Linked DNA regions of Styela clava. The protein of the gene in region 1 interacts with the protein of each later gene in a biochemical or structural test. Links are inferred from orthologs where the notes say so. Each region holds a gene or a part of one and is shown on either strand. Other genes may lie near its edges.

Evidence for each region.
Region 2: the proteins of elongation factor-like GTPase 1 (region 1) and ribosome maturation protein SBDS-like interact in a biophysical measurement, tested with the Homo sapiens proteins (2 studies listed by BioGRID and IntAct, with this or other methods). The link is inferred for Styela clava from reciprocal best matches to the Homo sapiens genes EFL1 and SBDS.

The regions. Positions count from the first base shown.
Region 1 is NC_135257.1:17,279,627-17,293,201, reverse strand, and holds the start of elongation factor-like GTPase 1, read left to right. Parts: upstream 1-8,402; 5' UTR 8,403-8,525; coding exon 8,526-8,613; intron 8,614-9,019; coding exon 9,020-9,087; intron 9,088-9,553; coding exon 9,554-9,638; intron 9,639-10,423; coding exon 10,424-10,560; intron 10,561-10,766; coding exon 10,767-10,904; intron 10,905-11,590; coding exon 11,591-11,689; intron 11,690-12,158; coding exon 12,159-12,271; intron 12,272-12,529; coding exon 12,530-12,653; intron 12,654-13,192; coding exon 13,193-13,272; intron 13,273-13,575. Other genes in the region: Fanconi anemia group J protein homolog, read left to right, coding at 126-309, 1,052-1,217, 1,891-2,023, 2,407-2,549, 2,849-3,537, 4,595-4,681, 5,213-5,310, 6,044-6,263 and 1 more. UniProt on the Homo sapiens protein: GTPase involved in the biogenesis of the 60S ribosomal subunit and translational activation of ribosomes.
Region 2 is NC_135262.1:15,398,582-15,410,835, reverse strand, and holds ribosome maturation protein SBDS-like, read left to right. Parts: upstream 1-8,607; 5' UTR 8,608-8,664; coding exon 8,665-9,423; 3' UTR 9,424-9,505; downstream 9,506-12,254. UniProt on the Homo sapiens protein: Required for the assembly of mature ribosomes and ribosome biogenesis.

The DNA.
Region 1 (13,575 bases):
CGCACTGGACACATGAAAGTTGTCTTTGGGGTCGTCCTGAAAAAAGCTTGGGAACCCCTGATTTAGATTGATAGATAGGTAGAGAATTATTTTGATTATTTCAATTTGAACATTTACTAAATCAGACCACTAGACTCTGGGAAAGAATCGAAGAAACCAAACAGATTGTTTGTGAACCGAGAAGTAGCAGCAAAGATGAGTTTGATTCCTTGTTACAATCATTCTACGATGCTGTGAAGAAATCGGAAGAAGAGAATCAGTTTGGTGGTGCTCTGTTGATTGCTGTATGTAGAGGAAAAGTCAGTGAAGGTATGAACAAGGGAATATATAGTTGTTTGAGTCGTTTAGTTTGATCAGAATTAACAAAAATTAATCTCTCCTTTCTTTTATATTTTGAAAAAATTTTGATTTTACCAACTTTGTTTCATCCAAGCTAAAAATTGGAGCTTAAACATAAAACTTTGAGTCAGCATTAGCCTAGACTACATAATTTATTATGTCACTCGTGGTATGAAAAATTGTTTTGTCGATGCCACCTCTTTGATTTTTATCGGACCAATAGTTTTCTTCATCTGTCCGGCTCTTCTTACATACCTACAGCCTTACAGGACTGGTAAATAAAATATTTCATTGAGAAATATTAGAAGTACTATTGTTCACATTTTTTTTGTAAAACCTTCCTACTGGCTTTCCTCTCCTGCCCCGACAACTATGAAAATGTTATCTAATCCTACTTAGTTTATATCTATACATAGTAAACCACTGATCATAAATTTTGTTCGACGGTGAGCCTGGACACTGAAGTATACCGGTAGTTTCTTCTTTTTCTGAAATGTACAATATAATACATGCAGAGCTCCTAATCCAACTGTGACTGAATTATATAATATAGAAAGTGACGCTTTGATTAGAACTCATATTATATTTTGAGTAATGTTGGGAGTTGTCAAAACAGAAGAACAATCTAAACATTCGTAAAACGTTCAATATTTTCCATATATATCATTTGCTGGATACAGATTTATTCAAACTTCATTAATTTCCTTTTTAGGACTTGATTTTGCTGACAATAATGCCAGAGCAGTGATAACAGTTGGTATTCCGTTTCCAAGTATAAAAGATAAACAAGTTGAATTGAAAAGAAAATACAATGATATGCACAAGAATCATCGGGGATTGTTAGCTGGATCTCAGTGGTATGAAATACAGGCTTTCAGGTGGGTTCCATAGACAATGAGTAGCGAAACTCTATCGTAATGGTTTCAGCTTTTTTTCAAAATATTCCTCCCTTTGTTAATTTGACATCTCTTTATTTCGCTTTCACTTTAAAAAGTCAGAGAAGAATCTTGGTGGGGAAAAGCTGCTCTATAGCAACTCATTTCGTTAAGATTCTCATTTTTGAATATTCGTAATATTAGTCGACAACATTTGGATCATTGCGTAGCATTTAGAATTGGTAAATTGGAATTGATAGGTGGGTGGTTGTCTGTCCATTTTTGCACAAATTTTTTTGTAAGAAAATTTGCTTAAAGTTAGATCATGAGCACTCGCGTAAATCAAAGTAGGTGATGTCTGAACCAAGTTACGAATGGCCACTGATGCGCCAACTGCTGATACTGTAAGGAATTTAGCGGTAAGGCATTCTAATCTTGGAAAGAAAAAATTGTATTTACTTTATTTAACAACATGTTTAATAAATGTGTAATTTTTCTCCATTAGAAGTAGATATTTGAATAAATCTTATCTCAGCATCTTGCTATATTTTGGACAGCTGTACCAGGATTTATGCCAATTCGCTAAGTGTACCGAAGATCTTCACAATATTATACCAAGATGACAACACCATGATACCTGATGTTGATCAGAATAAATTTGCCTCATTTATTACAGGGCAATGAATCAAGCACTCGGTCGTTGTATCAGACACAAGACAGACTGGGGTGCTCTCATCATTGTTGATGATAGATTTTGTAAAAATCCTAAAAAATACTCCAAGGGTCTGTCAAAGTGGGTTAGGCAAAAGGTAAGTGGACATGAAACAGCATCAAAAGAATTTATTAATAATACTGAAAAAATGATAATCACTACTTGCTTTGGCATTTTACCATTTTTTATCTTTTTTTACAACGTTTTTTTATGATACCAAGCTACCACTGTACCTACCACCTATATTTTATCATTGCCTCCCCAATTTATGATACCCTGGGAAATGTGGTGACCGTGGGATTTAAACTTGAGATCTTCAACTCGGCAAACCAGCATAGCTAAAGGGCTGTGCTTCAATAACTAGGCCATCATGCCCGCTGTCAGCAGTAATCTTCTACTTCAGAATTCTGTTTTTGAAATTAGCTTGTTCCCTGTATACCAGCAGTTTGGTACAAGTCATTGATTTTTGTTAATTCACAGATGATACCTTACACATCTTTTGACAATGCAATGTCAAATATCACAGCATTTGTACAGAGACAGATGTCAGGTACTTCTAATGTTTCATTACCAACCGTCAATGTTAACAGTTCACCCCCTATTACATCTTCTTCCACTGCAAGGTATGTTGACTCAGTGTTGTTCAATGGCATCTTCGTCACAACAATAAATTTTTCAATTGCTCAAATTACCACTGTTGGGTACCGGTTTCTAAACTCGCCCGACTCCAACTCGCCTTCACTTAATCTCCAACACTGTTCATCACAGCGATGGCTACTAATAATTGATCACCCACAAAATATTTTTAGTTTATTTCAAACTGTTATCTGCAGTAAAAAGTACCCCTTATTTCATGATGTATGAAAGTAAAATCAAATTGTGATTTTTTGAAAATATCATATTGTCATTCTATTTTAAACAGATCCATCTTGTCTTCAATTCATGAATCATTGCAAGTTGAAAAAGTTGAGCCTAAGTCAATGGATGTATCTCTGCATAGAAGTATCGATAAATCTTCTACAAAAAAGAAAAAGAAGCCTACCAAGCAAAAAGTTGTGACTAAGACTACAGAAAATATTCTTCATCATGACAACGATGAAATAGATTCAAGTCCAAATGATGATTTCCAGAATGAGAGTTTTGTTAAGTTTAATAGAACTTCTGTAAGAAAAAAAACTAAAGCTAAACCACCATCTCAGATGAATTATTCAAAAATTATGGAAAATAACGGTTCAGATGGAACAACGAATCGCAAAATTAATGAAAATGAAATTTCAGGACTTGAAACTATAGCCAATATCAAACCCACAAACAATTGTGAAAAATTTCACCAACAAATTCCAGTTAAACGGGAATCCAAAACAAACTTGTCAAATTCATCCAAAAAAACGATTTTAAAACCATCATCTGACACAGCTCTTTCAAACACAACACTTCCAATCCCAAGTACTCTGGATGTAATTGATTCTTTAAACGATGATGTAATGGTTGATGATTTGTTCGATTGCACAATTCCTGCCACCCCAGAAAAAATGAACATCACTGTAATTCCCGAATCACCGCCGTCAGCCAATGGAGATTCAAGTCACATCGGATTTCAGCGAGCATTGGGTATGTTTTCATTCACTCCCTTTACTCTGAATTTGTTTTAACAATATAAAAAGAGCAATTTTTTTTGTTAGGACTGGAACTCTCTAGTTGAGCATTGCCTACACAATTTATTACTTATTAGAACCTGTGATGTGTAACCAGCAATGCCAACACGGTGTAACGCTTAATCCGCTAGGCGGATAATATAACACAAGTTAAAAACTATTGATCGCTTATAACAATGATGTTGCGCCAGTCGCCTTCAAACTATCTATCATTTTTGGTACACAATAAAATATGTGTTAGCGCAATATTTTTGAGTTTTTGATTCGCGTAAAAATGAAGCATGCTCTGGATCAACTCAATGGGGAATCTCATCGATACCTCTTTTAAATCGAGTTTATTACGTGCAATCCTTTCTATGAAAGGGAGCAATGGAAGCATGGAGCGTTTTAGAACTTTTACATGAACTACTAAATTGCAATCATTGTATTGACGACGAGTGGCATCTCTCTACCATTTGCGCACGCCACATAGTAAATTTAAGGCTAGAAATGTCTGGAATTATGGGGAAGCATTGTAGTTAAAAGCTTTTTATTTTTCATATTGACATGTGAGAATTTTTGAATAGCCGCCCAGAATTGACGCAAGGTGGTGGGCTGGAAATCTAGTTAACAGCCAAGGCGCACATTGACCCACGTTTACGTTTGTATTATGGTCGCCAAGAAAAATAAAAATATATTTTTAAGTTGATCCAACAGCTATCTGCGGAACCATTAGGCAAAAAATATGAGCTACGACGTATGTTTGTGAGCGCGCGATGCTGTAATATGGTCGAAAACGTGTTTTTCTACTTTTACATTGTGACCTCACGGACTCGGAGAATTCGAGTTGAGTCCTTGACCTATTACTTGGATTTGTTGAATCTCTGTAATGCTGGACTCGTCCCATCCCTAATAGGTTGTGGTATCAGTTACTTTCTTGGATGACACCAGGACTAATCAGAAAATTTTGTTTGAAACAAAACTTATTTAGTTTTGTATCTATATTTATATTTGTGAGAATAATCTACTTTCAGATTTTGATTCTGGAATATCGTCAGCAAGAAAGAGAAAACTGACACAATCCCATACTGGAAGCTCAACACCTAATTCCAAGCGAACAGGTTTAATTTTTAAAAATTGGTTGTGTGTCCTTTTACACCTAGCAATTTCCTAGGGTGTATTATATAGTCAAGACAGAAGATTTCTCGGTACTCCTGTAGTGCATGTACCAGGTTAGATTTAGGCCATAATTTAAGTCCGATTTTCCTTATTTTAGTTCTATTATAAGTTCGGAGATTGTCTGTGTTAGTCAAATGAATATAGCCTACCCCCTGCCCATAGGTTGATGATGTAAAATAGGCGAACAAAATTAGTTACCGCCATATTGCTACACACACTCCTGGAGCGTCAGAATTTCACTTTTCTTTTATGAAATTACATTCAAATCTATCAAGCAATTATATTGTTTTTATATTTAGTTTTGTCACATTCAAGGAATTTTATCTCCCTGTTTTTTGTTTGCTTATACTTACACTAATTTTAGAAATGATCACAATTGACTGTATTTTGTGTTTGCAGATTTTCATACTCTTTTTCGTTTTACGTTCCAACATTTTGCATATTCATATATTTACATATTTATTTTATCTTAGATAAGGAGGATTTTGATACATCATCAAATTGTGAGCAGAATTCTGGTGATCTTTTATCACGGGCTACAAGAAAACAGTGTTTGAAAAAAGAGAAAGGGGTATGATGAACATATTGCTTCCATATTTATTCCTACAATATTCTAAGTTATTATACAAAGTAATCAATCAGTTTCAGATGTTTAGTCAGCACTCCTGTAGTATGTGTACCAGGTTAGGATTAGTCCATAATTTTTTTCCTATTTTCCCTATTTTAGTTCTATTACAAGTTCGAGGGCTGTCTGTGTTAGCCAAGTGAATATATCCCATGCCTATAGGTTTCAGTCCCTTTACACATCTTGATGTAAAGTGGGCGAACAAAATTAGTTACCTCCATATTGGTACACATACTTCTGGGGCGTCGTTTAGTTTATATAATATTGGTGTAACTGAATCAGGATACTCCTTATCTAAATCCTATTGTTCGTTTTATATCTGCACGAAGTAATGTTTTTATCAGGATTTTGACTAAGATTTTTTGTTGGGACAATGTAATCAATTTTCTTCAATTGACTTACCATTTGCATTCAAATATTTAGTACCTTTATATGGAGGTGTCTTTCAGAAGGCTATACCCTATAACACATTTTCCAGAGGCCCAGTGTTTTGTAATTTAATAAAATTGTGCCGTTGCATCATCTTTCACGCTGATCATAAGCGTATCGTATCACAAGCCTATTTGGTCAAATTAGCTCACAAGTGTTAACAAATACTTTTGATGTACTATCCTTGTATTCATGTAATTGTTCATTGCGCTCTTGTTTCTACTTCAAATTTCATATCTATTCATTTCAGACACACATTTCAGAAAAGAAGTCCGTTCTCAAATGCAAAACATGTACAGTAATACTTTATGAACATATTCAACAAACTATTGCATGTGAGAGGCTGCAATCATCATTTATTAACGAGAATTTTCTCGAACAAAAATCGATCATGTGTGATGTGTATTCAGTAGAATCAAAGCATATGGATTTTGAATTCATCACATTGATCACAGAAAATAGTAGAGATGGTAAGAATTTATATTGTATTTTTGACGGCCTTATTAGGCGAAACTATACTCAGCCTTGTTATCAGTGACCATAAATGATTAAATAATTAAAATTGCTTTTATGAAATTGATAGTTACTAATGGGAGACATGGTATGGAAAATAAGGCTCATGGAGCGAGCTTAGACTACTGGTGATAAAAAAACGCATTTGTAACATAGGATAGGATAGGATAGGATTTACATATTTATCCCGGGGGAGAGGAAAGCCGATAGGACGGCTTATCCATATGGCGAACCACGGCCTCTCGTCCGGTTACCATTCCAAGTCGGGTATTGGATTAGTTTTTACTGTATTGTTTGTTTTCGGAAGTATGGACTTGGTGGTGGAGGAAGCCGTAACCGACCAGCGGTTACGTGAACCACCCAACGACGGCGAGGAGTCCAGCAATCCTCTCGCACATAACCATCCCTGCATGGGATTCGAACCTGCGAACCCACGCAGAGTAATTAGAGGTGCGGTGGCGAGCGTATTCCTAACGCTTAGCCCGTTGAGCCACACCGCCGTACCACCACTGATGATGTTAGCCAGGGGTCAGCAACCTTTAGAGGTGCGGTGGCGAGCGTATTCCTAACGCTTAGCCCGTTGAGCCACACCGCCGTACCAACACTGATGATGTTAGCCAGGGGTCAGCAACCTTTTGTCGCTCGCGGGCCAAAATCAAAGGTTGCAAGTCATTGGCGGGCCGCACATATTTTTAGAATGTTAAAAATCGAATGGATGACCGATGAATCACATTTTATCACACAGATCAGAAGTTAAATTTTAAGCAGCGCGCGAAGACTGACCATTCGAATATTTTTTGCGCTATTAAACCATTTGTTTACTATGATTCAGTGAAGCGTCGCGGGCCGGATGATAAGATGATGTAAGCGCTGAAACATCTATAAGTTGTATCGTTGCAAGTATTCTGGGATGGTTTTTCCTACCCATCAGGGCTAACATTTGTATACAAAATAATTGTGTAAATAGTAATGACTGATTAAATGTGACTCCAGTTATTGAGATTTAAATCGGAATCCCTGTTTTTCTTCAGATTCAAGCATTGAATTAAATTCAATCTGGTGCGAAGAAGATCATAGGTGCTATCAAATATATCGATGTCAGTGTTGTATGAAACCGGTTGCATTTCAGATAGTTTCAGAACAACAGTTAAAAGATAAATATTTTTTCATATGTCAACTGGTGGAAAGGATTGATGACTGATTATTTCTAATATTTATTTCTACGTTTTCGTTTCTACTTGCCAATTTCATGTATGCACTTTCTATTTCTGTATTAAAGCCTAATTTTTAATAAATGAGTTCAGTGCAAAGCTGAATGAAAGGGAATTGTGGCGGTGTTTGTAAGCTCTTATTTTATTTTGAATTCTCTTACCGTAATTGAGTTTTTGACCCAAAGCAGATTTTGTATAAGCAATCATTTAGTTTAGAATTTCTGTGCTTGGGAGGACCGGAGTTTTCACGTTGTTAAGGGCAATCGATTGAAAATTTTAGCTCGCGCCCACAGCAAGTACGAAAGTTATTAGTTCCAAATAAATGTGAGTAAATTAGCCACTACATGGACAGAAAAAAATGGTTTGGCCTTGTTCATATATTTGAGCATTGCTCTCCTATTTCCGCAACAGCGTACAATCCACGACAACAAACCCGCGTAACAGTTGCTTTGTTCTGACATATTTCCAAGCATGGTCATGAACACTGACTTATTTTTCATAGTTACGGTTACCGGTACTGTTTGTGAAGTTTTAGTTATGTGTCCTAATTTAATAAATAAAAACTGTTGCAGAAGGCAGGAAGAGGCCAGTTTGAAATTAGCTGTATTTCTTTTATTGACAAGTAATTGAAAATTTCGATTTAGAATACCGTAGTGCTTTGTAACGACACAGAGGATAGCTAAACCTTTGTGGTAAAGTGCAAGACCCAACTCGCTAAGGCCATTGAGGTTATATATCCCAATAGCTAAGACACTTTTAAAGTCCAGGAGGGTACGTAACGTACTGTGTAAGCGTAAAGCATAGGGTCAAAGGTCGAGAAATCATCTATTGCTCCTCGTTTCGCGTTGCAATATGAGCAGTGTTGTTGAGGCTTAAGCATACAGTCATATGGTAGGATTTACGTATTTGTATGACTAATCCATCAATTTTCAAGTAAGAAAAAAATAATTATTTACAGTAAATGTAAACCATTTGGTAGAGACTGTTTAGGGCGTATAGTTTCAAATAATGGCGGAGAGGGTGAGCCTGATAAATGTGCTGCAGAAGAATCCCAAGAACATTCGGAATATTTGTATATTGGCACACGTTGATCATGGTAAGCTATTAGAATAATTTGTTTGCTATTTAGTTACCGGTCCTCCACATGGGTGGCCAAGTTCAAGTATTGATAAACACTGAATTTCAAGATTTTTCCTTGAGATGAAATTTTGGTGCTTAAGAGATAATATAAAATTAACCTTCAGGCATAGCTGTAAAAAAAAGGTTTTGAGCATTTAATGTTAACTCTGTCATGGTAACAGAAGGTAAGTCCATGAATTAGAATGCTTCGAAAATCTGCTTATTGAAACTTTCGTCAGTTATTTTTCAAGCTGGAACTACTCAAGTCATGGAATGTAAATTTTGTGACTCTTAAAATAGATTGATTGTAATCTCTGTAAAATGAATCATTAATCCTTATGCTCTGTATCTTTAATTTGTCTAAATTTTACCCGTCTTTGTAGGAAAGACTACTTTGGCTGATTCTCTTATAGCAAGCAATGGAATTATATCTCAACGATTGGCGGGAAAAGTAAGAAGGATTAATGTTTGTGTTTTAGTAATATTCATCAATTTTCAAGAATTACCAAAGCTCCATGTTTTTCCAATACAGATTTTTATTTCATTTAATTTTGGTGCACTTTATTGTACCAATCTATGGGGACTTGGGTTCGGCATGTTTTTTATAGATATTGTAGTTTGAGAAGGGGTCGTAGTTTAAATTGTAAGGAGTTGGAATGAATATTTCAGAAATAATTTCTAACGAGTTGACTAAGCATTCTTAACAGACAATTAAAAAGGTTATACATTAAAGTTTTTGTTATCAAAATTTTAATTCTTGGAAAGATCGGAGCTGAAGTCTTGCAAAAATTCCTTTTAACCAAGGTCTGGTGTCTCAAGTTAAATCAAATCGGTGTGAATATTCCTCCATATTTCTGGTACGAATAGCGTTTGTGATATAAATTTATTTTATTTATTTGCCTTTTATTATTTTACAGTTGAGATACATGGACAGCAGAGAAGATGAACAAATTAGAGGAATAACAATGAAATCGAGTGCAATTTCATTATATTTCAAGTCTGGTATGACAATTTTTTTTTCTTTAAAGTATCCATCCTTCAGTGCGATGATATTGTGTGATTATCTGAACTAAGTGAAATGATCAAAATTGATCTACAACAACTCAGAAGTATTTTTGGTTAAGTTGCTCTTTTACAACTTTTAAATTTAATTTTGTTGTCAATATTTTGCTCTATCTAGTTTTCCCTATCTTAAATTTTATTAGAAAATTTGCCCTGTTGAGCAGGGGTCCTAAAATCCAGAGTCGCAAGCCAAGTCCGCCGATTATTCAAGCCTAGTCCAAGTCCCGAAGTTTCTTCAATCACTGAGTTAAGTCTAGCTAGCGAGTAGTTGTTGGCGAATTCATCACCTAGATGACTCGGATCATTTTGAATCTTTGAGACGAGTAAATAACCGGAGCCGTCCCAACACTGTTCAATAGTGTTTTAGCAAAACCTGAATAATAAACTTCTAACTATATGATGCATTTAGAAGGCCCAGTTTGCATGTGGTTATTCTGTATAAATATGTTATAAACCCCAGGTGGGTATAATTGGCTATTGTTAGAGTGAAAAGCTATATTGGAAATCTACTTCACTGCCATACAGCTGAAATAATATTCTTTTTTAGCACAGCTCTATGGACTCATCTATACTGCCATTGCAGCCTTTTTTGAGTTACAGATCTTAGGTTCATTCTCGCCCACCTTCTCACTCAGAGTTTATTAAATTGGGAAGTGAAAGACGTTATTATTAAAAGTGCCATGTAAAAACAATTTGCATATGATCTACTGTTTTTTCTTTTCAAGGAGATGCAAATGAATATTTGATCAACTTGATTGATTCACCAGGACATGTTGATTTCTCGAGTGAAGTTTCAACGGCAGTTCGATTATGTGATGGCGCCATTGTTGTTATTGATGTTGTCGAAGGGGTTTGCCCACAAGTGAGTTTCATTGCTGGCCGTCACAATATACAAAACTCTGATTCAAAACAAGCGAATTTTACCGACACGTTTGACTGCTGCAAATATGACATTGGCCTAGCATTACTAATAGTGATAGTAGACTAGGTTATTTCTCATTAACTGCCACTTGAGGAAACAAAGTATAATCATAATATCTTCTTATATTATATTTGTTTTAATTTTAGACTCAAGCTGTACTTCGGCAGGCCTGGTTGGAACGTCTGAAACCAATGTTAATTTTCAACAAGATGGACAGATTAATAACAGAATTAAAACTCACTCCACAAGAAGCCGCAATGCATTTGCAACAGATATTAGAGAAGGTTTTTATTCTATTGAATGACAAAATTATAATACTCCCGAGTATACATGCTTGCCTGAATAAGATCCTCTTATGCATATATAAATTATTATGTAATCAGGGTCATCCATTGTAACTTCTTTTTTAAGCACATTTCTTTCTTTTTTTCAACATGTGATGATAAGAGCTTTTTATATAAGGCCCTTCAAACCATGGGTTCCTAAATTGTGGTAAATTTACTTGCTTAGGGGGTCACTTTCGTTTCATTCCAATGAATAATAAAATTTATTTGTTGAAAACAGCAGATTGAAACCTTTTTGGGACTGAAACGCCTTTTGTTGTGTGATAAATGTAATTCAGCTTTTACTAATGGGAAGACTTCTTGTTTGTTGGTTACGGATGAAAAATTAGCATTGCTGCAATCAATTTTAATCATCTGCATCCACACATCTACACTGGGATTTCCTATTCCTAAGCCTTTATCCGTCATTCATTTGTAGAAGTGAAAATACAAAAAAATTAGTAAAGATTGAACATGTGTTTCAAGCCGTCATATAAATTGAATAAATAGTGTATTTTGCCAAATAATCATCAAACATCAAATCAAACTGTCATTTTTCACCATCAGAGTGCTGTATGTTAAAGCTTTGGTTAAAAATTGCTTTGCATTATCTTTTCATGTGTTAAGTTTATTTTTGCTCTTACTAGGTCAATGCCGTCACAGGAAGTTTATTTTCTGCTGAAGTTCTTGAAAAGTCAAATAAGAATACAACTTCTAATGAGGCTGAAGTTGAAACAGGATCTGATGTGAGTAACTTCATTATTTTCAAGTTTTAATGACATCTTTTGCATTATTGCTGCAGGACAAACAGTCGAAGGGGATAAACACATTATGATATGTTAGGGGACCACGTAATGGGAATCTTTCTGTACATTACAACTTTACTGATTACTTTGTATTATTCATTTTGCTAAATTCATTGTTGTTGTTCTTCTTGTTCGGTTGAGTGCAAATGTTATGGAAAAATCACTTTTCTCTACAATTAATAAATGGTAAAAGCCGCTAGTGGAAGTCCTACAGGATTTCACTAAAATGCTGTTTTATATGAATGAAAGGGTTTTATTTCTCAAGTACCGATGCACGACGTTCATGTTGATATATTCCAGCATTGCTCTTTTGCAATCATAGTCGCTTGCATTATTCATGCCATACCATGAATCTTAATTTTGGCGTGTCTTGTACGGTATTTATTCAGTTTCTTTTATAAAATATCAGATCGTTTATGACTGGAGTGCTGGTCTAGAGTTGACGGATGATTCTCATCTTTATTTTTCTCCGAATGCTGGAAATGTTGTTTTTGCAAGTGCAACAGATGGATGGGGATTCACGTAAGTTTTCTATCTATTTTTTTATTCTTTTTTTTCGCGAAACTTCTTGGAGACGAGAAAATTATTTTCTTACTTGGTATCAGCTTATTTCAGTTCTATTAAGTAATAGTTAAACAATAAAATTCGAAACTTTTGAAGACAAGGCAAATTAACTTTTTTGTCACATTAAATAATGGTAATCATATAGATAGAATTGTACATACATGTTTTCTCGGTTTGCAAAGCAATGTGATTGACAAATTAATTATTCTTTCATAGAATCGACCACTTTTCTAAACTTTATGCAAAGAAGCTTGGCATTCAAGAAAACGTTTTGTTGAAAACATTGTGGGGCGACTACTATGCAAATGTAAAGGCCAAAAAGATATTCAAGGGAGCTCAAGTATGTTATAAATAAGATTTCAAAACTTTTGGATAATATCAAATTGAGTTAGCATTCCAAATATCCATCAAGTATATTACAGGTAAAACCTAAAATACACCAGCACACCAACTTGAAAATCTTTTTACCTTTTGAATTTGTTTTCATTTGGCTGTGTGTTTAGGTTTGGCGTAGGATGTATAAACATTTTGTTTGATATTTTAATTAGATTTTGATGATAATGTAAGACTTAGAAAGCCCTGGCTAATATATGTCTCTTTTATCATTTTATTTTTTTTTTGTATTATCACAAGCTTAAAGTCTCATTAGATGGTTTGTGTTTTTATGCATCTATTTATGTGCGATGTACTGTTGTTATATTTTGTATGTTAGTGAGAAACGAGTGCTTTCCACATTTGAAACTTTACTTCAAGTTTTGTATCTTTTTTGGGTTCTCCTCTTGTTTTTTTTGTTTTGGATGTATATAGGGTAAATCTATATCAACTCCCCAATGTGAACTCTCTGTGTGAAAGTTTGATAAATATTATTTTACTTTGTAGGCAAAAGGAAAGAAATGTTTGTTTGCACAATTTGTGTTGGAAAATATCTGGTCATTATATGACACTGTGCTTGTGAGGAGGTTGGTAAAAAATGTTATTACTTGATCTGGATTATATATTATGCGTAATGGAAAATATTCATATTCCTTTGGGATATTGAGACTATGGAGGACGGGAGGTGGTCTGAAATGTTCAAATAATAGATAGATAGTTTATTTTAAAAACTCTGGAATACTTGCGAATTAAAAATAGAAAATTTTCACTGTGAACATTCAACCACTGATATCCAGAAAAATGCAATGAGCTATTATTATTTGGACGGACCAAAATTTTTCTGGTTTTGGGCGACGTGGTTGTCATGAGATTTGAACCAAAGAAGTCTA
Region 2 (12,254 bases), on another chromosome or scaffold:
AGGAGTTTAGTTTATCCACATTTAATCTAAACAGCAATTGTAAATTAGTTATTGGACACGTCAGTGTACATAATGATCGTTTCAATATCATTTTGTTGTTCTCATTATTCTTCTCCTTCGTCATGATGAAATCGTATTTCTCTTCGAATACTGGACCAATTGCTTTGAAATTTCCGATGATGGAAGTTTGATTTCTTGCTAGAATGCTATTACTTTTACCTTTTTCAAAAATTTCTGTAGACTTCAAAGATTCGTTTTTCATGTGTCTGAATAAAAAATAGCGACACCTTGTGACGTGTCAATATATTTGAGCATAGCTCTCTTGTATTCATATATAATTTGCAGTTGATCGTTTTATTAAATTTAGCATGAAAAATGCAACAAGAATACATAAATTAGACAGAGAATGAGGAAATACCAAGCTTTTATATTGTTTTTTTCCTTTTCGCCGCCTATGTCTCATACATCTGATGTACAAATTTTGAAATTGCAATAGCTTTCACAGGATATTAAGTATACTTGGCGTTGCATAGAAACTTACATCATGATTGACTTATGTATTAGATCAGCGTTTCCGAAACTTTTTCAACCCCGGAACACCAAAAAATGAAAAAGTAAAATTGATAAAGGAAAACGGTGTAATGTAATGTAACCAATGGGTTCGTCTGGCGAGTTGCCAAATGCGCCACGAAAACTAACAGAATTGTGTTAAATACCTAAAATATGATTGAATATTTTAAATATTGTATTTATTATTAATGTTTTATTGTTTCTTAATTTGAATGCTGTGTATATGAATCAACAAATTTATTTGACCTTTCTATGTCGTTTACTTTCCATTACGTAGTGTTTGTCTCTAATGTTACGTCTAATGGAGATAGAAATACATGCTGCAACTTTGCGAGCTGCAGTTTATTTATCTGCTGAATCGAGTTTAGCGAACGTGAGTAATTTTTTCAGCATTTCAAAGTAAAACCAGGCAGAGATGGCGGAAGATTTGCCTTTATTCTTTAGCCCTACTTGTTTGCCTATAGCAAAACTAAAAGGATTGCTGCAAACTTGATAACAAACTTAACAGTCGAAAAGCTTGGCCGACGGTTAGCGAAAATGCCACCACCTTACTTTATAGTTAGTCTGCTTTAGGCCGACAGTGATGCGATATTGAACGATCAGTTGGGCAACAATTTCACGATCGCCATGGCGACCCATTTAGACGTATTTTTGATTTAACACTAGGAAGACTAGTGTTCCGCGGAACACAATTTGCGAAACGCTGTATTAGATGTCCTATTTTTCTTACTTTGCAAAATCTTATAAATTTGTTTAGTGAATAAGTCTTTCGACCCATTGTACATATCAATTAATGTTCTTGTCTGTAATTTGTCCCGATAATAATTGAGGTCTAGGTCTAGTGTAGTTCAGTACCACAAGTACTTCTAGTGGGCTTGTCCTGACCAAAGCGTATAATATATAATCATATGTTATATATATGTAGCCTATATTATCATATTCTCAGCTCTCTTTGCGCAACAAACTGACAAAATTATGAAATTGCAAACAAACCAAAAAAAAAATGAATATCGGGCTCAAGGAATTTGTCAAGTCTTGATTAAAGTTTATAAAAGAGTTTATAATTAAATGAGCATTACATTAATATAAACTTAAATTACTATCAGGGAGGAAAGCCGATAACACGACTTAACATATGGTGAACCACGGCCTCTCGTCCGGTTACCATTTCATGTCGGGTATGGGATTAGTTAGGTATTTGTTTTCGGAAGCATGAACTCTATGCTATGTATATTTATATTTATGTTTAAATGGTTGCCTGCTATTCAATGCTGCTTCCCGTTGTGGGTTGGACATCGCTGGTTCAGAAGTTACATATCTCCTTCTGTTAAAACCTAACCGCAAAATCTTGGCAGAGATTCTGTCATATAGCTCCTACGTTTGTGGTCGTCCAAACAATGGCGTGTTTGCATTTTTTTGGGCAAACTTTTCATATAATGTTAAGTAATGAAGCGTATACATTATGATTCAATAGAGTAATAATATCTTTAGTATGACAAATGGGTGTCACTGATCTAACTTTAGTAGCAAAATGCCAATACCAGATAATCGTCATGTCTTGTTTCATTTTTTGCTAGTTCTATAGAATTGGTATTTAGTATTCTTTCGAGTTTACCGTACAGCTGAGTTATTCATTTATGTCCGCATATACTTATAATTTCTCTTTAATTATCCCATGATCATTTTTGCGTCAACAACCGGAAGAAGTTTAATTTCCGTATGGATCAATAGCTTCATGAATGAAAATATACTCTTAATCGAAAAAACATTAGCTCGTTGTTATCAGCTTGGTGAGAAGATGATGATGATACCACGAATCTTTCACTTCACGTTATTGTTCAACTTTTTCTTAGCACGCAGGATTAAATATGTTATTGCGATACCAGACCGAAATTGCAAATTACCAGAACAGCCTTATATAGATTGGACGAAAGTGAGTAGGCCGCTCTCTATTTCTTATATATTTGATTCACCAGTTTTTAGACAGCAATGATTCAGAGCGGTTCGTTGAGCGAGAAACTGGTTTTGCTTAATGAAATAAAGTGGGTTATCTACGTATTTCTTATTACAAAGTTTGTGTTTTTTTCAATTCACTTTCTCGTCTCACCAAGATATCATAAAAGTATGAAAAGATTATTAATTATATATAATATTGCGATATAAATACTCTATCAATAACATTTCTTTATTGAAGTATCATGCAAAATTTAGATGACAGGGAAATGGTATGAACACATGGCGAACGATGGAGAAAAACCACACTGCGATATAATAGACGATATTAGTTATCAATTATATGGATTCGATATGTGGATGACGCCGTCAAATCCAAGGTATATGAAATCATGTGGTCTCTGCTCATCTAATCTATTGAACTCGAGATACTGGTATCCTGAGTAAAATTTATATCGCGTAATTATTTTGTTTTATATTCTAGAGGAGGCATTATTTATTCTCTAACAATATCAATAAAAGATAATAAAGGGCCTTACAAGGTTTGGTATTTCGCAAGTAAGTGAGCTATTTTTTCATTCTCACTGATTAGACTTACTTTTAAATTACGAACGATTTGTTATCATATATTCACTCGTTTAACCAAGCACAAATCACAGACAGGTAAGTCATATTGAATTTCACAGTGAGTTTTCAGTGCAAGTTTTGTTCATATGTTTTAGATTCATTCATGATAGATGTGAATGTTTGATCTGGTATCGTTGATTTCAAATTGGATAATATTTATAACTATATTTTTAATTCATTTGTTCATTCCAGAAATTACGAAGCAAGAGCGCTCATTTTTGGAAGAACTAAGAATGAATTTTTGTCGAAATATGTCGAAAAGTAATAACGGTTAGTAGACGAAGTTTTCATGTATGGAGAGGACAATTGCATATACCGGTACCTATTATTTCAAATTGTCCTATATGGGGGAGAACAATTGCATATGCCCATTATTTTAATTTGTCCCAAAATGGGATTTATATATATCTTTGAGACTGTTTGAATCCGTGTTTTTTTAAACTCTCGTTCTTCAATATTGCAACAAAAATTGCTTTTCAGGAACAACACATATGGAAGCCGTTTACTTATCCGATTATAGCAATTACCTCATTTCATTACAATGTGGAGCAAGAGGTGAGATGTCCTACAATCCGAATAACAAACATTCGTTAAATTAAAGGATTTAATATTTCTTCCTCTGTCGAAAAGCGATATATATATATAAAATAGCGATAAATTTTGTAATTTTTTTTATTACTCGATTGTTAACATAGGCGAGCGATACGTTTGGACATTTGGACGCCATCGTACTCGAACACTAAATGACATTCTGCGAGAAAGGAACAAACTCGTCGAAATCGGTGATGGGTGGAACAATGCTGTACTTTATCTTTCAACATGCTAATTGAAAAACTATATTTTGTTATTCTATAAGGATCGCACCTCATTTTTTTGCTGCTATCCACATTTTCAACTTTATACATCGAGCACTATCAAATCGTAGCAGCAAGAAAAATAACATAGTCATGGGAAAGGCACCGCTTCTTCTAACTAACCATATCTTGATATACCATGAATATAATCCCATAAAACGTCATTGCAATTATTTTGTCCGTAACGAGGAACGCCAATGCTTTAGAAAATATAAACGAGACTTTAGACTTCTATCCTGAATAATGTTTTAAAAAAATCGGAAAACGATCGTTAATACTTAAATTTTGACTCCATACTCCATTTGATTAAATTATAAATGGAATAGTAACATATGTCACGGGTTGATTCACCAAAATTACATTTCGAGCTGTAAAACTGAAAATGGATCTTGATGGAATACCGCTGGAATATTCATATCAAATAAAATTCCTGTTAAGCAACCAATATAACTAATCCCATACCCGACTTGGAATGGTAACCGGAGGCCGTGATTCGCCATATGGATAAGCCTTCTTATCGGCTTTTCTCTCCCCCGGGATAAATATGTAAATCCTATCCTCCTAAGTAAACACTTGGTTCCCGGAAAAATAAGACAATATGTATATTCTCTTCTGATAGAGTGAAGTTTTCAGTGATGCATTTCTCAAGCTGATGTTCCAAATCTCTATCAATAGTCTATGTGGCGTAAATTCGGCAAGATACGGCTTATTACGATCTAGTGCATATATTTAAAAAAAACTTCAATCCTGATTGAAATCGGCAGCCTTTACCTCGTCAGAAGCAAAGTAACTTCATTTTTTTCTCTCTACCGACGGCATGAAATAAAATTTTCCGGAATCCGATTTCAAATTTTGAATATGTGAGTAAATCCTAAATGAATGGCTACATATCCATCGATGCTTTGTTTAATTTTGTCACATTTAGCGTTGCCAACATGTGAACAATTGACATTTCAATGTTCATTTTCTACGTGTAGAATTGATGCCCAAAGATCGATGCTAAGGTTTGTAAGGCCGTAAATATGGTCAGACCGATAATCAAAGACCCCGAATAAGACTTGACCAGAATGAGTACCTTTTTGTGTCATTTGTTTAAACATTTTGGATCAAAATGATATTTATGAGAAGTAATTCGCAAGAGTCAACTAAAAAAAAACACTCTCAAAATAGGCCTTCGTTTCACATATTTTTGCAATGGACCTTTCCCCGACCTTCGACCCCCGAAAAACTAATACTTAACCATTGCACAATTTTGGGGGCTATTTTAGAAGTGCTTTTGCGAGTTGGCGCTTGTAAAATTTGGTCAAGTGTTTCAAACCATCATTATAATTCATCGCATACAACAATCTTTTTTTAAAAAATGCCGGTAACGAATTTTAGCCTAGTCAATCACAGTTATTTCTACACTAATTTTTTATTACTGCAATTAAATTAAAACTCCTAGGAAGACAGGGTAATCAATGAATTATATAATTTATTTTTAAGTTTCCGAAACACAAATGAAAACTAACGAATATAGTTCAAAATCGCGAAAACGAGGTAATGTTTACAACCACGCTTAACAATCTGTATGAGTTAGAAAGATGTCTGAGCTGATGCGAAGTATAAGTATAAGTTTATTTCGACTCCATAATCAGCATAACAATACATTTGACAGATAAAAACAAATCAATAAAAACTAATTATGAAATCAGGGGAGCAAACGAAACCTTAGATAAAGTTTATAACGTACAAAATAAAAGATGGAAGATTTTGCATAGAGGAAGTGGTACGTGTTTACTCACTTAAAATTATTAAGGTATTTCACACACGCTCACATGCACCCACCGCCACACACAACCACTGAGAAGTTATTTAAGTAAGAATAAAACGCGATAAATTTAGGGTATACTATACAGTAAACAAAAAAAAAGTAATAAATACTAGAAAAGAAAAAAAGAGGGGGGCATTGTTACGAAACTTTTTGCATCTTACTGATTAGCCAATGCCACAAAGTAAACAAGGAAATCGATGCTCGGGGAAAGGTTTGAATGAAACTGGTTAGACATTGAAAATATTTGGGGTCAAGGGTCAGAAAACATCCATTGCGCAACAAAATGCTTGTAGGTACACTGGCATTACTATCACTGTGAGTTATAAATCAGTAGAGACTGCATTACCGTGCGGAATATTCTCATCCTATTCAGAAATTGCCAATGCTGGTAATGTTACGCCTTTGTGACTAGACCAGTAAAAACAAAACCTGGAATAAGAAATATAGCAGGAAATGATATGTGTGTGTTATGTGGAAAAGAACCAGAATTTGTTAGCCATCTATTTATGAATTGTGAATATTTTGATTATGTTTTTGATTTTATGGAAAATACTGTTAGGAAATTAAATAATGCCAGACTTTTGAAAAATTATGAAACTTGTGTTTTATTGGATTTAAGCTATTTGTTACATTCCAACACGAGATTTAGATATTATTGTTTATTTAATTTCAATCACTAGATATAAAATATGGATACAAAGAAATTCTGTTATATTCGAAGGTAATCCCCCTAATCAGCACCTAGTTATCAAACAAATAAAAACTGCAATCACTTACAGACTCAACATTGAAAAAAATAGAAAATCACCAAATTTTGTCAGAGAATTTGAAATACCTAGGAATTGTATTTGAACTATAAATCTAGTGTGTATAAATTTAGTATTTATTAGAATGAACATGTCTAATATATTTAATTTTTTACGTTTATTGTACATAATCTAACTCAATATACTAAAAATTGATGAATTGTATGCCGATGCGATCAACACCTCAAACACTGATGGAATGGACATATAAAAAATGAATATTGGATTATTTATCTTATGATTGCTCGAATGGTTATATACTTATTGTTATATTTTAATATATTATCCCATTAAAAAAAAAAAAAAAGAAACAACAGCATAGACTCATAGTGCTGTAGTGTTAGCCTTGAGCTCAGATAACTGTGTCTATACCAGTCTGCCAGTGGTAAGAGTGGTTCTCAAACTTTTTGAAAAACTATGCATAACGGTCCCCTCGCAATTTTTCTGATGACTAGCGGTCCACTAAAGAAATGGAAGCAAATAACAACGCGGTATATTAAGCATTCATCTATTGAATGACATTAAAACAGTTTAATGGGAAGGATGCGCCTAATTGACCTACAGGGGTGGTGACTCCACTACGACCCATGGGCCGGGGCCACGGCCCATCTAATTGGGCCACACGGGCCGTGGCCCATCAAGCTATGGGCCGCGGCCCCGTCAGGAAAAATTCAATTATCTTACCAAAAAATTCAATTATCTTACCAAAATTTTCAATTTTTACAAAATTGTCAATATTCGAACCAAAAAATAAACTCCTGTAGTATGTGTACCAGGTTAGGGTAAAATTTTGTTCAGATTTTTTACATTATAGTTCTATTATGAGTTTGGGGACTGTCTGTATTAGCCAAGTGAATAGTTCCTTTACACAACTTGATGGGCCGCGGCCCATAGCCTGATGGGCCTAGGCCCAATTTGACGGGCCGTGGCCCCGGCCCATGGGCCGAAGAGGAGTCACCACTTCCACTCTAATTGACTCCGACTAGTTCTTCTACCTTGGATTCTGTTTTAGATAATGCAACTCTCCTATCGAGTCCCACGTCCATTCTGTTTCAACATATTTTTTTAATGGCGAGTAACGTGGAAAAAGTTGCCTCACCTTCGTAAGTTGTTGCAAATGAAATGAGCATTTTAGTACCATCTTAGCGTCATCGGAATAGGACGGTGGTTTTCCTTTTCCTCCAGAACTTAGAAAAAACTTACAATCAGATGCGCACGCCTTCCATAAACAATACGCTCTTATTTGCCGTACTTGGCACGTTAACCAACGTTTGTTACGTAATAATGTTTTCAGGAGAGTGTGACGTTCTTTGGAGAAACACTGTAAAAACATGACATCAAAATTCCACCTCAAATCAAAGTGCTTCTGTGCCGAGGTTAAAGTTGTCAAGAGACAACTTTAACTTCAGCACAGAAGCATTTTAATTTAAAGTAAAATTTTGATATCATACTTTCACAGTGTTTTTCCAACGCACGACACACTCAACCGAAGACATTATTACGTAATAAACGTTGGTGAACGTGGCAAGTAGTGTAAATCAGAACGTATTGTTTATGGAGGGCTTGTGCATCTGATTTTAAACTTTCTCGGGGTTAGTTAAAAATGATTTGAGAGTGATGAGAGTTGCATCATCCAAATCATAACTCAAGGTAGAAGAACTAGTGGGAGCCAAGCAGGCCCACCTATCTCATTGAACTGTTTTAATGTCATTCAATGATGAATGCTTAATAGATATCAGGTTGCTATTTGCTTTCATTTCTTTAGTGGACCGCGAGTCATCAGAAAAATTGAAAGGGGACCGTTATGCATGAGACTGAGTTACGCTTATGACTGGAAACACATAACACCAGCTTAAAGTTAGCCTTGTTCTAAGATAATTGTCCCAAACACAAAAACACTATTTGCTTTTTTAAACCAATATTCATGTGAATTTATTCTGATATTCATCAAGCGTTCCTTTTTGATATTTTTTCATAAATAAAATAGACTAGGTGTTAAGAATAAATGAAAATATAATATCCTAGTTGGGTAATAGCGAGAATGTCATTAATATTCACTCCTGTCAACCAAGTGCGGTTGACAAATGTAGCAGTCGTGCGTATGAAAAAAGGTGGAAAGAGGTTTGAAATTGCCTGCTACAAGAACAAAGTAATGTCTTGGCGTAACAAATCTGAGAAAGATATCGATGAAGTGCTTCAAACTGATGCGATATTCACAAATGTATCTAAAGGACAAGTTGCTAAGAAAGAGGATTTGAAGAAATCATTCGGTACAGATGATGTCACAAAAATATGTGTTGAAATTTTGGCAAAGGGAGAATTACAAGTTTCAGAAAAAGAACGCAGTGACCATCTTGAATCAAAATATCGAGATATTGCAACAATGGTTTCTGAAATGTGCGTTAACCCCGAAACGAAGCGTCCATACACAGTTACTGTTATTGAGCGTGCAATGAAAGAAGACATACATTATTCTATCAACATGAATAGAAACGCCAAGCAACAAGCTTTACAAGTCATTAAATTATTACAAGAAAAAATCTCTATCGAACGTGCACAAATGAGAATGAAATTGTACATACCGGGTAAGACCTCAAAATCAATCAAAGAGAAGTTGAGACCGCTTTTCAAATCTATTGAAAACGAGGAGTTCACGGATGGACTTGAAATCGTTTGTTTAATTGATCCTGGTAGTTATAGACAAATTGAAGAATTGATAAGTAAGGAAACAAGGGGAAAAGGAAGCACAGAAGTTTTGAACTTGAAGGAAATGAAAGAAGTGGAAGAGGTTTTAGAATGAGTGTTGATTGTACGGAATTGTACCCTAAAACATGCATGCTAGCAATTCAATTGTGTTTGAGATATCTGCCTATACCTGAATATTGGGTATTCTAGTTAGCAACCAGTATTCCAAATGAACTACTTTACATCAATACTTTGTTATAAATCATTTTAACCAGCCTACTGACAAAGAGTGGCATTGATTCAAGGTCGCATACTGCTTCTTGCCGACCTTAAGCAATCTCATCTGTCTTGGAACTCCCTAAGTCCTAACACATGAAATACAATGCAGTATACCTATTTGCGGATGCATGTTGTTGTACTTCTTGAGTTCTACTATTTCATACTGCCTGTATTGTTGAACAATATACATTTTCTTTCTGCTTATATACAAATAATATATTTTTGGGTTTCTTGTTGATCATTTACAATAGTGATTGATGGCACAAAAAATAAGCAAGCTCAGGATTTGTTATATTCAGAATCAGATATTTATAAGCTTTAGACTACTTAATATTGCATTGCATTCTGGAATATAACAAATAGATGGATGTCAGAACATTGATAATAAGTAAGTTGAGGCAGTCTTGTAGAAATGATATATTGATTAACATTTGCAAAGAAAAATGGCTTTTAATCTTGTCGCGCTGGTATACACACAAGTTATATGACTCAAAAGCTTTGACAGTCTTTTACTTCAATCACATTATTAACAATGATTTTCTATAAAATATTCAAACAAAATGACAATTGTTATACAAAGATTTACAATTCCGGAGTGAAATTTATACTCTTGCTTCATGAAATCTGAAGTGTTTATGCATATGCAAGCTTTCTTGTTAATAATGTTTTTTTAGTTATCATCAGAAATTTCTACGCACGCTCTGTTAATAAAAACAGCAAAACTCAAACGACTTCAAAGCACTGACCAGAAGCACTATTAAGATTACACTTTATACTCCTGTTGGAAGGAGAATGCCACACATATCGCTTTACACATTCAAAACCAATATTTTGCTTGGGAATGACTTGCTTTAACAATACCTTTTATGCCTGGAACAGCTAGTTTCAAAACATGAGGATGGATGAATAAAGATATAATATGTCCTGATTAGATAAAGCCAGACTATGCTAGAAAGTTATGAAGAATGGCGTTCAAGATGGTTAATAAGTATTCAAATCCTCCACGTTGACTCTTTGTCATCTTCGTCCTGGGCAAAGTCATTCTGTATGACTGCGTCTGCGGTCTCACGAAGCTTCTGCAGTATTTCTTCAGGGATGATGGTGGCATCATTTGCTGCTTAATTTAAAACTGGAAGTTAATCTCGATCTAACTTGAATGAGAATGTTTAATCATGAAGGTTGAAACCACAGAATTTGTTTAATTGAACCTCAATAGTAATTCTAATTCAAGTTATGATTGTAGAGTTGAAATTTCAGAATTCTAAGGCGGTAAAAGAAGTCAAAAAACAATGAGTTTCCTAAGCTCTCATCCTAAGCTCTCATAAAAGTTTATAAAAGAACCTTGCATATATGGAATTAATTCTCTCAGTGTCTGAGACTTATAAATTTTGTTAACTCCAAGTCCGCAGATTGAGTTAAATATTTAGTCTTCCGTTAAAGTTCCAGAGCTGCACCAAAAGTAAACACAAAATACAATCTTGCATTTCAATTCTATATTGTTATTTTTACTGCAAATTGTTTAAATCACGCAAGAGTCACAAAACCAACACTCCAAACTTGCTAGAACTGTTGTTAAGTCTTTTATTAGCTCGGAGGCCAGGATAGAAATAGGTATAATAATTTTGCTCTTACTTATATTCATATAAAGATGCTCTTTCACTAAGAAATACATAAGCAATAGCATTATATATAGGTTTGGCATTTAGAAACATAGCAGATAGAAATAAGACCTATAAATTACATTTAAATTACTATGAACTAAGAATGAATCATCATAATATAAATCACAGGCAGTGCTGTTTAAGTGACCAACTTGGAAAATAGACTAAAGAATTGGAATATTTTGACTGAATCAATTACCATATCCAAATCAATTCCATCTTATGACTCACTACTTGTTAATTACGTAGGAGCTAGGCTAATTTTTTAAATAACTCAAAGTGACTAATTTACCATTATTTGCTATAAATTGTGAGAATGAAAAAGGGGGGGACTCCTTAAAATTGCACCGAATTCTATTTTTTGATTCATAATGAAAATTGTAAAGTTGAAATTGAGTCTTTTGCAGTTGGAATGTAAAAGGTACGTTACAGAATTACTGTGTATAAGTCATTGAGGTTACTGTATTTGGGAAATTATTTTTGTTTGATAGAATGTTGTTCTCCACTTAATAAATACAGAAGTGAAAGTTTGGTCAGGAGAGTGCAAAGCAATAGCACAGCTCAAGCAAAACAATAGATATTATTTAAACTGCCAATATGTGACATGCCAATATGTGATAGAAAATTTTAGTTGGTCATTGTTTGACTGATTATATTTCAGATAATATAAATTGAGATGGAAATTCCTTGAAAATGCTCGATTCCACAGCATCTATACTAATTTAGCATTGTAAAATATCTAGGTAGCAGAAATACACATAATATGATTATTATTTTTCGGGGAAAAAACACACTGCAACAAGTTTTTTCTCACCCCTGGAAGTCGACATAGAATAGTTTCCTTTTGTTCCATATTTTTGATATTTTGAAATATCAGAATTACCCAACCCTAAAAGGCAGACCCATATTGTAATAGAAAAATTAATTTAAGATGTACATCCTACATTAAAAATATGTAGTTTCTACAGAAGACAAAGCGTTACCATAACAACAAATTCTGAATTGA